Linked DNA regions of Neurospora crassa OR74A. The protein of the gene in region 2 purifies or fractionates together with the protein of the main gene of each other region. This does not show direct contact. Links are inferred from orthologs where the notes say so. Each region holds a gene or a part of one and is shown on either strand. Other genes may lie near its edges.

Region 1 (2,982 bases), on a different chromosome or scaffold from region 2:
ACGCCTGCCAATGCTGCATCCTCGATCTTCAGTTCGGTCTGCCCATCATCATCAGAGACAAGGCCCTCGAACTTGTGGCCCCCGGACCGCAGAGCGAAATCAACCGCGAGTACTTTGCCCAAAACAACGAGCGCGCGATTGAAGAAGGAAGAGCTGGTGTAGAGGAGTACGAGAAGGCGGACGAAAAAGCCAGAGAGCTGCTTAGGAGGCTGGCACAAAGCAAGCCCTATTTCAGGAAGGGCAGGGAGGTCGACGAGGAGGGTAACCCCGTTAACGGATCATCGAGTGGCGCAGGACGGGCGACGGGAGGCAATCCTGCTGTGGGAGCCGGTGTTGGTGGGGTTGGTCCGATTCGCACGAGAGATTCCAGGGCGGCCGCAGCTGCTGGCGCCAGACCCGGCGGCGGACGAAGACCCAACGCAGCTCCGGCGCCTCCTCCGGGACCCAAGGACTGGCTGCCACCGGCCGACAAGAGCATAATGTCCCTCTTCGTCACCGGTATCGAAGATGATCTGCCTGAGTTCAAGATTCGCGACTTCTTCAAGGCGTTCGGAAAGATCAAGTCGCTGGTGGTGTCGCACATGTCGCATGCCGCGTTCGTCAACTACGAGACTCGGGAGGCTGCTGAGAAGGCTTCAGCGGAGTGCAAAGGCCGTGCTGTCATTGCCGGATGCCCCTTGAGAGTTAGATGGAGCGTGCCCAAGGCGTTGGGAACAATGAACAAGGAACAGCGTTCGGAGATGCTACGAGATGGTCGGTCGGCCTTTGGCAGTGGTCAAAAGACAGGTGGCCAAAAGGCGATCGGGGGACAAAATGCCCAGGGTGGCGCATCAGGAGCGCAGAAAGACGACGCATCTAACCTCACTATCGCAGCGCCGCCCGGTGCGGCAGACGTACAGTACGCCAGTCTCTCTGGCAACTAAGCGGGGTCAGAAAAGTGCTTATTAATCATGGTATTGCAAGGCGTTCGGAGGCTATTATGATTTGGGGTTTGGGCTCAGGGTATCTCGGATACGTTGCATTTCCTGATATCGCATGGTCTCTTCCACTAGTTTTCTACATTGAGGGGTATCATTGATGATTTATACATATACACGGGCAACGGCACTGTCCTGTTGTCCCATTACGTTCTCACGAACTTGAGCTTCCAAAATCCTTGTGTTATCCAACCATGGTTTTGTATTCACTTATGCCGAGCAGCACTTCTGCTCGCCGCCGATCTTGATGGTCTGGTTGCCTAGCTTGATGGTATCGTTGTCGCCGCGCTCGGTGTCCTGGTGAATCCGTAGCTCTGCAACGAACATGGAGTCAGCAACCATATTCTGTATATGACTCGAGCACCCCTAGACTTCGCTCACTGTAGGTCTCGCCGTCCTTACGGCCCTGGACGACATTGGATCTCAAAAAGCTGGCAACTTCCTCGGCATGCGCAATCGCAGGCGCAATCGTAGGATCGTTGGCGGGAACGTTCTGGTTCTCGCGGAAACCACGGCGGATGGACTCGTAGGCGGCCGTAAGGGTGCGGTTATCGCCTAAGATAGTGGCACATGCCGGTCAGTCCGGGGAGCTACATGGGCCGGCGGATGCACCAAGGAGACTGCAGGGGAACATCGTACCATCAAAGGCAACTCTCGCGGCGCGCATGAGGTGACGGTAGGCTTGAAGGGCAGACATGTTGACAATACTGCTGGTAAACGAGGGTCATGCAAGGGAATGCAGGTTCTAAAGAAAGTAAATAGTATTGTATCGCCAACTTCCGGTCTAACAAAAAGATTCAAGGCTTGTCTGGAAACAGTTGCAGTGACGGCAATGCGACCTCCAAAAATGTCGCCCAGGACCGGGTAGGCTTGCCGGCCGGAGTGGACTTGGAGTTGCGATGATTGTGATTGGCGGTCGATAAGCAAGATGTGGGGAGCTTAGCCATCGAAAAATTTCCAGAATTCCGTCGGTAAAAAGACAACAGAGGGGCCCCGCCTATACAAGCTTCTGGTTCCTGCGCCTGTCACTGTCTCCCAACCCAACCATCACCATCCTCATCATCGGCCGCAAAAATGACTACTGTGGTTCCCCTTCCTCTCCCCACCCTCCCTGAGGGCTGGACCGCCGAGAAGGACTTCAAGCCCATCGGCAAGATTGCCCAGAACGAGGCCACCCAGCGCACCATCGAGCCCGTCGGCCCTCACTTCCTCGCCCACGCCCGCCGCGCCCGCCACAAGCGCACCTTCTCCGAGGATGACCGTATTCAGGCCCAGGAGCGTGCCAAGAACGTCGAGGAGGACAATGAGAGCGACCTCAGCGAGCCCGAGGACCCCATGATGCTCTCTCGCGACGCCAAGGACTGGAAGGTTAGTGCTCAGCGTGTAATGGTGTATCACGCCACGCAAGACCTTGACAGCTAACCTGATTGCCCCGTATACAGCAACAAGATCACTACAAGGTTCTCGGCCTTTCCAAGTACCGCTGGAGGGCCACCGAGGAGCAGATCAAGCGCGCTCACCGCAAGAAGGTCCTCAAGCACCACCCCGATAAGAAGGCCGCCGCTGGCCGCACCGAGGACGACAACTTCTTCAAGTGCATCCAGAAGGCCACCGAGGTCCTCCTCGACCCCATCAAGCGCCGCCAGTTCGATTCTGTTGATGAGGAAGCCGATGTCGAACCCCCCACCAAGAAGCAGCTCCAAAAGGGCAACTTCTACAAGCTCTGGGGCAACGTCTTCAAGGCTGAGGGCCGTTTCAGCAACACCCAGCCCGTCCCCAGCTTCGGCAACGAGAACTCTACCCGCGAAGAGGTCGAGAACTTCTACAACTTCTTCTACAACTTCGACAGCTGGAGGTCGTTCGAGTACCTCGATGAGGATGTTCCCGATGACAGCGAGTCCCGCGACCAGAGACGCCACACCGAGCGCAAGAACCTCAACACCCGCAAGAAGAGAAAGGCTGAGGACAATGCTCGTCTCCGCAAGCTGCTCGATGACTGCTCGGC
Region 2 (4,938 bases):
TATGTCAGCGAGGGGTGGTAGTGTAGGATTAATGGTGTATAGAGTAGCTGGTGGATTCCACTTTTCTTGCTTTAAGTAGTACTTTGGCTGTATACACAGAGCAGCGACAGTATTGTTATCTTGAATGATATCGTTTGTAGATCATCAACTTTGTTGTTACCTCACTGAGCCCCTCGCTCGGCGTCTTGTACGCACACACTATAAAGGCAGGTTAACCGAAGTGGATGGAGTCGATACTATTGAGATTCCCAGGAGTGAATGAACGAATCAATGCCTCCTAAACAAAGAGAGAGAAAAAAAGAATTAAAAAAAAAATTTGTAAAATATATAAAAAATAAAAGATAGAAAGAAAACAAGACGAAGAGGAAAATAAAGGAAAGAATATCGGTTGGTACGGAGCCCAGTTTTAGCTTGAGGTAGGTACCGAACAATTCTGGCTTTACGTGATCTTGAGGGCAAGTTTCTGAGGTGGTGGTGAATACATGCATACCTTAAGGTAGGTATCTTCATGCCGCGATCTAAATATTGAAGTGGGACATTTAAAGGACCAGACATACTCCGTCGTAGTATCAAGGATCTCTCGTCGGTCACATCTTCTTCACTTGGTCACGCAACAAAGTTGACATTTTCTCTTGAGAAATACCACGTATCTATTCAGTTTAAAGGTAGATACATCTAGATACCCAGTCAGATGGTTTCTCCTGGTTCGCCAACTTCGCTCGATTCAGGTACTGGTCTGTGTTTGTTGAACTGAGCAGTGATCAGACAGGAAGACATATAAACCCAGGCCTTCAAGTTGAGTGCGCTCCAGTCATGATTGTTCTCTTTACCTGAAAGGGGGGGGGGGGGGGTATGTAAGTAGTGTGTAGGTACGGATATAGGCGACAAACAAAACACAACGCAACAGCACAAGAGTTGACACCAACGCTATATTGAGCCTGCCACAATACCACTTTAGTGACCACCAAACATTGCAACGTGTCGCCGCGTTGACCAACCCAGACTAACCACTCTGACAATGATAACAACATCAAGACCAAGTCCGACCTGCCCACAATTCACATCTAGCCCGTACCCATCACGATGCTCCATTCCATTCGTCATCTCTTCTTTCATTCAGGTTCTAAGTTTTCGTATGGTACACAGATCGAATCGAATCCCAAACAATGACAAAGATATGTTTCGAATCGACCTAGTTAAGGATAAAGATAGAGGTGAAAAGGTAAGGTGGGTAGGTAGGGAGAAGAAGTATGCTTTATATTTGCGCAAGTAGTGGGGTTTCTAAAACGCTCGAACAAGGAACGAAACAGAGGACTTTTTTTAGTTGGCATCGGGCTGGCTGAGGATGTACTCGACGGCCTTGTCGACCGAGTGGATCTGGTCGGCGTCCTTGTCGGGGATCTCGATGGAGAACTCCTGTTGCGGGTAGGTTTGTTAGCATCGTGTTTGGCGTCCATGTGCTATGACTGTGTTTGGGTTGAAGGGTGATTGTGATAAGAGGCTGAGCTTGGGCCGAAAAGGGAATATGACAAGGGCCCGGAATAAAAAGAAAAAAAAAGGGAGCAACATACCTCCTCAATAGCCATAACAACCTCAACGGTGTCCAAGCTGTCAAGACCGAGGTCGTTGGCGAAGTGGGCGGTCTCGGTGATCTGTGATGCGCAAACTTGTGTCAGAATCTCTCATCCCTGTATCTTTGGTCTCGTTCCATTGCATCTATTCTTGCGGTTTGCCCGTCTCGTCTCTCCTTCCAGACTGTCAGGCCGGGAGCACCAGGGCACTGGGATTGACCCATCATGACCAAAAATCACATCATAGTTCGTCTCCGTGACGGTGAGGAGGAAATGTTGGTGTTTGCGTCTGTACTTACGTTCTTGGGGTCGTTGACCTGGAAAGTAGATGTTAGCTTGGGCCTGGAAAAAGGTTGCGAACACGGGACTGTTGTGGCTTCTGAAGAAGAGGCTGGAGGAGAGGGGAGATCCAGCCGAGGTAAGGAAGAAAGAAGAGCAAGAGACAAGAAGTTGACCAGCAAGATAGCAAGAGGAGGAGGGCAAAAAAGCGAGGGGAGAGCATCATCATCGGAGCAGAACCAGCCCAGCCGGCAGGGCAGACCCATTCGAAGAGCTCCCAAGTTCCCGATAAATCCGACCATGGCGCAGCGTGTGGAGCACGCAGTGCTCTTCATCGTATTCCATCTCGTTTTGTCGCGTCTGCGCAGCCTTGATATGCTCTTCGCATCTTTTTGGTCTTCCTCCGTTTGTGTTCTGTTGTCCGGCTGGTTTGCTTGCGATGATGATGCTCCCCCGCACGCTCTCTCCTCTTGTCTTCGCGTAGCGTATGTCCCTAGACCACTCGTATCCCTCTGCCTCTTCACACCTCTTTCTTATCTCCTTCCTTTCTTCTGCTCCTCCTCCTCATCCTCCTGCTCGAAGTTTGTATGCATGTCGTGTCGGGTAGGTCTCTTGTGATGTAAAACGCACCTTGTCAAATCCACTCAACACCTGCGCAATCCTGCTAAAGACCTCATCCTTCTTGAGATGACCACCGGCGCTGTAAAACCGGACAGCCTGGAAGGCAGCGACCTTGGGGACGGCCTGGACAAAAGCAGGACGGGCAACACCAGCGCGGACGGCGGAGGCGACGGCGGGACGGGCCACGCGGGCGGCAGTGAGGGCGGCGGTGCGGAACATTTTTTGTTTTGTTTGGGTGGGCTGTCGCGGAAAGTGTCAATTGCGCGGGTCGGTCGGGTGTTTGAGGGTCGGTGGTGGTGACAGGAAAGGCTGTGGCCGAAAATGAGTGTGACGCTACTACTCGGTGGTTCTCGGACGAGGTTGTTGCGGGTTTCTCTGGCTGGAAGCGGATTTCTGGGCGGTGGTTGGCTGGAATCAGCGATGATGATGATAAATTTCTCGCCTACTGCCTATGGTACGCCGGGGGCGCGGGAAGCGGGTGCGGGCAACTGCGGGCGGCGGCGGCCAACGAAGCTAACAAACCCGCCTCTGACTCTGGAGCTTCAGCGTGTGGAGGTACCTTGGTACGTACAACCTCGATGCTCCCCCGCAACTGCAGCCATGGAAGCTTCAGCTCGTTCTGCTACTCGTCAGCCGAGTCACGTGCAGGTCGCTCAGGTACCGTCTTGTACACTGCGGAGAAATGTGTCAAGCAGATACTCCACTAACACCCCACGGGCAGGATCACTCCACTCGTCTGTTAGACGGGTAATCCCGGTTGATGGATACGATGGGATGGAGTTCATCACGATACAGCTTGTATCTTACAGATGGTACCGTACACTAATTGTACATTCAGCCTTTCAAGCATCTTTAGGTTTCTTGATGCGTCCCTTTGGCCGCATATAGGATCTTCCCTGGCGAGATGACTTTCAAAAAGACAAGAAGTTGGATGAGGGACGCAATTCACAAATGTATCTACAGCCTTCTTTTGCCTGTCCGCCTGCCTGCCTGCCTGCCTTCTATAACACAATGGTGCGTCCTGTTGATACCGCAACCCGTCCGAAACTGCTGGTTCCGAAACTCTAGCATAGCAACAACGAAAAAAAGAATCTCTGTCTTCATTGTCCGTCCTGTTATCCGGTCTTCAAGCCACAACCCCTTTATCTGTAAGGTGAATCGGCGCGAATAGCAGCCGCAAGCTCAGGCTCCCACTTGTCTCCGTTAGAGAGTAGCTTTTCTGTATCTGTTGTCAGCACATGTCATATTTTCCTGGCCCCCCGACAGCAAGAACCTATCTCCAGCCAGCACCAGGTTATCACGGCATCCCCCAGAAAAGAACTCACCCTTGTTATACAACAACTCCTCCCTCGTCTCCGTTGCGTACTCCGCATTGGGACTCTCCACAATCGCATCCACGGGACAGCTCTCCTGGCAGAATCCGCAGTAAATGCACTTGGTCATGTCGATATCGTAGCGGGTCGTCCTTCTGCTTCCATCGGCACGCTCTTCAGCTTCGATGGTGATGGCCTGAGCAGGGCAGACGGCCTCGCAGAGCTTGCAGGCGATGCAGCGTTCTTCGCCCGACGGGTAACGACGAAGGGCGTGCTCGCCGCGGAAGCGGGGGGAGATGGGACCCTTTTCGAAGGGGTAATAGATTGTGTACCTGGAATAGAGGTGTCAGTAAATATGGTGGTATGGGTTTGCGCAGTCGTTAGGTAGCTGTTGATCGTCGTGGTGACGGAGGAGCGGCGGGAGGAGCAGCACAGTACGAGCGCGCTTAACCAAGCGACGAGCCGCAGAGCCGCAATCTCCATACTACTCCAGTGCGCGAGTCATGATACTTGTCATGTCGTGGATCCTGCCCACCTCCTCACCCCAGATCCTTCCAACTTCCACCACTCACCACCTCCTATCCTCCCAAGCCAGCAAACAGACAAAAGACAGACAAGATACTTACGGCGGCCTGAAAAACTGCTCCATAGCCACATACATGCCCCTAAACATCTCCGTCAAAAGAAAGTACCGTCCGTTCTTATCCAGCACGTGTTCCTCCTCTTGGTCCCACGTCTTGGGCGTCGGAATGCGGAAGCCCTTGGGCGGGGGACCGGCGGGGGTTGCGTAGGTGCGGATGGCCTGAGAGACGAAGGAGGGGGCGATGACTCGGCGGGTGGTGAGCTGGCGCGCGACGGCCGCAGCCGAAGAGGCAGTGGTGGTGAGCATGATGGGCGGGTTGCGGTGGATGGTGTTGATTAATTGTTGGTTTTGAGGTTGGCTGGCAGGGTAGGTGAGGCAAATGCGTTGCGCCAGGTGTGATATTAGAGGAGTGGCTAGGTAGGTAGTTGGTTGTCGTCGCAAGCCTGGTTTGATGATGTCGCAGGTCAATACAGTGCTCTCTCTGCGCTTGCGACTCAGCGACGACTTCGTTCGGTTCCACTCCGATGTCGTTTCCTCTGCTTCGGCTTCGAACTTCGGTTCAGTTCTGTTG

The links. The genes of interacting proteins can lie anywhere in the genome.
Region 1: the proteins of acp-1 (region 2) and NCU03008 purify together in Saccharomyces cerevisiae (affinity purification with mass spectrometry; 3 studies listed by BioGRID, with this or other methods). This does not show direct contact. The link is inferred for Neurospora crassa OR74A from reciprocal best matches to the Saccharomyces cerevisiae genes ACP1 and MZM1.

What each region holds. Positions count from the first base shown.
Region 1 is NC_026501.1:8,458,832-8,461,813, reverse strand, and holds NCU03008 (hypothetical protein), read right to left. Parts: upstream 1,817-2,982; 5' UTR 1,675-1,816; coding exon 1,617-1,674; intron 1,533-1,616; coding exon 1,359-1,532; intron 1,292-1,358; coding exon 1,188-1,291; 3' UTR 973-1,187; downstream 1-972. Other genes in the region: NCU03007 (pre-mRNA-splicing factor slt-11), read left to right, coding at 1-923; NCU03009 (zuotin), read left to right, coding at 2,052-2,345, 2,420-2,982. UniProt on the Saccharomyces cerevisiae protein: Assembly factor required for Rieske Fe-S protein RIP1 incorporation into the cytochrome b-c1 (CIII) complex.
Region 2 is NC_026506.1:4,098,113-4,103,050, reverse strand, and holds acp-1 (acp-1), read right to left. Parts: upstream 3,027-4,938; 5' UTR 2,691-3,026; coding exon 2,481-2,690; intron 1,889-2,480; coding exon 1,871-1,888; intron 1,653-1,870; coding exon 1,572-1,652; intron 1,417-1,571; coding exon 1,321-1,416; 3' UTR 857-1,320; downstream 1-856. Other genes in the region: nuo21.3c (NADH-quinone oxidoreductase chain I), read right to left, coding at 3,614-3,690, 3,797-4,116, 4,411-4,673. UniProt on the Saccharomyces cerevisiae protein: Carrier of the growing fatty acid chain in fatty acid biosynthesis. May be involved in the synthesis of very-long-chain fatty acids.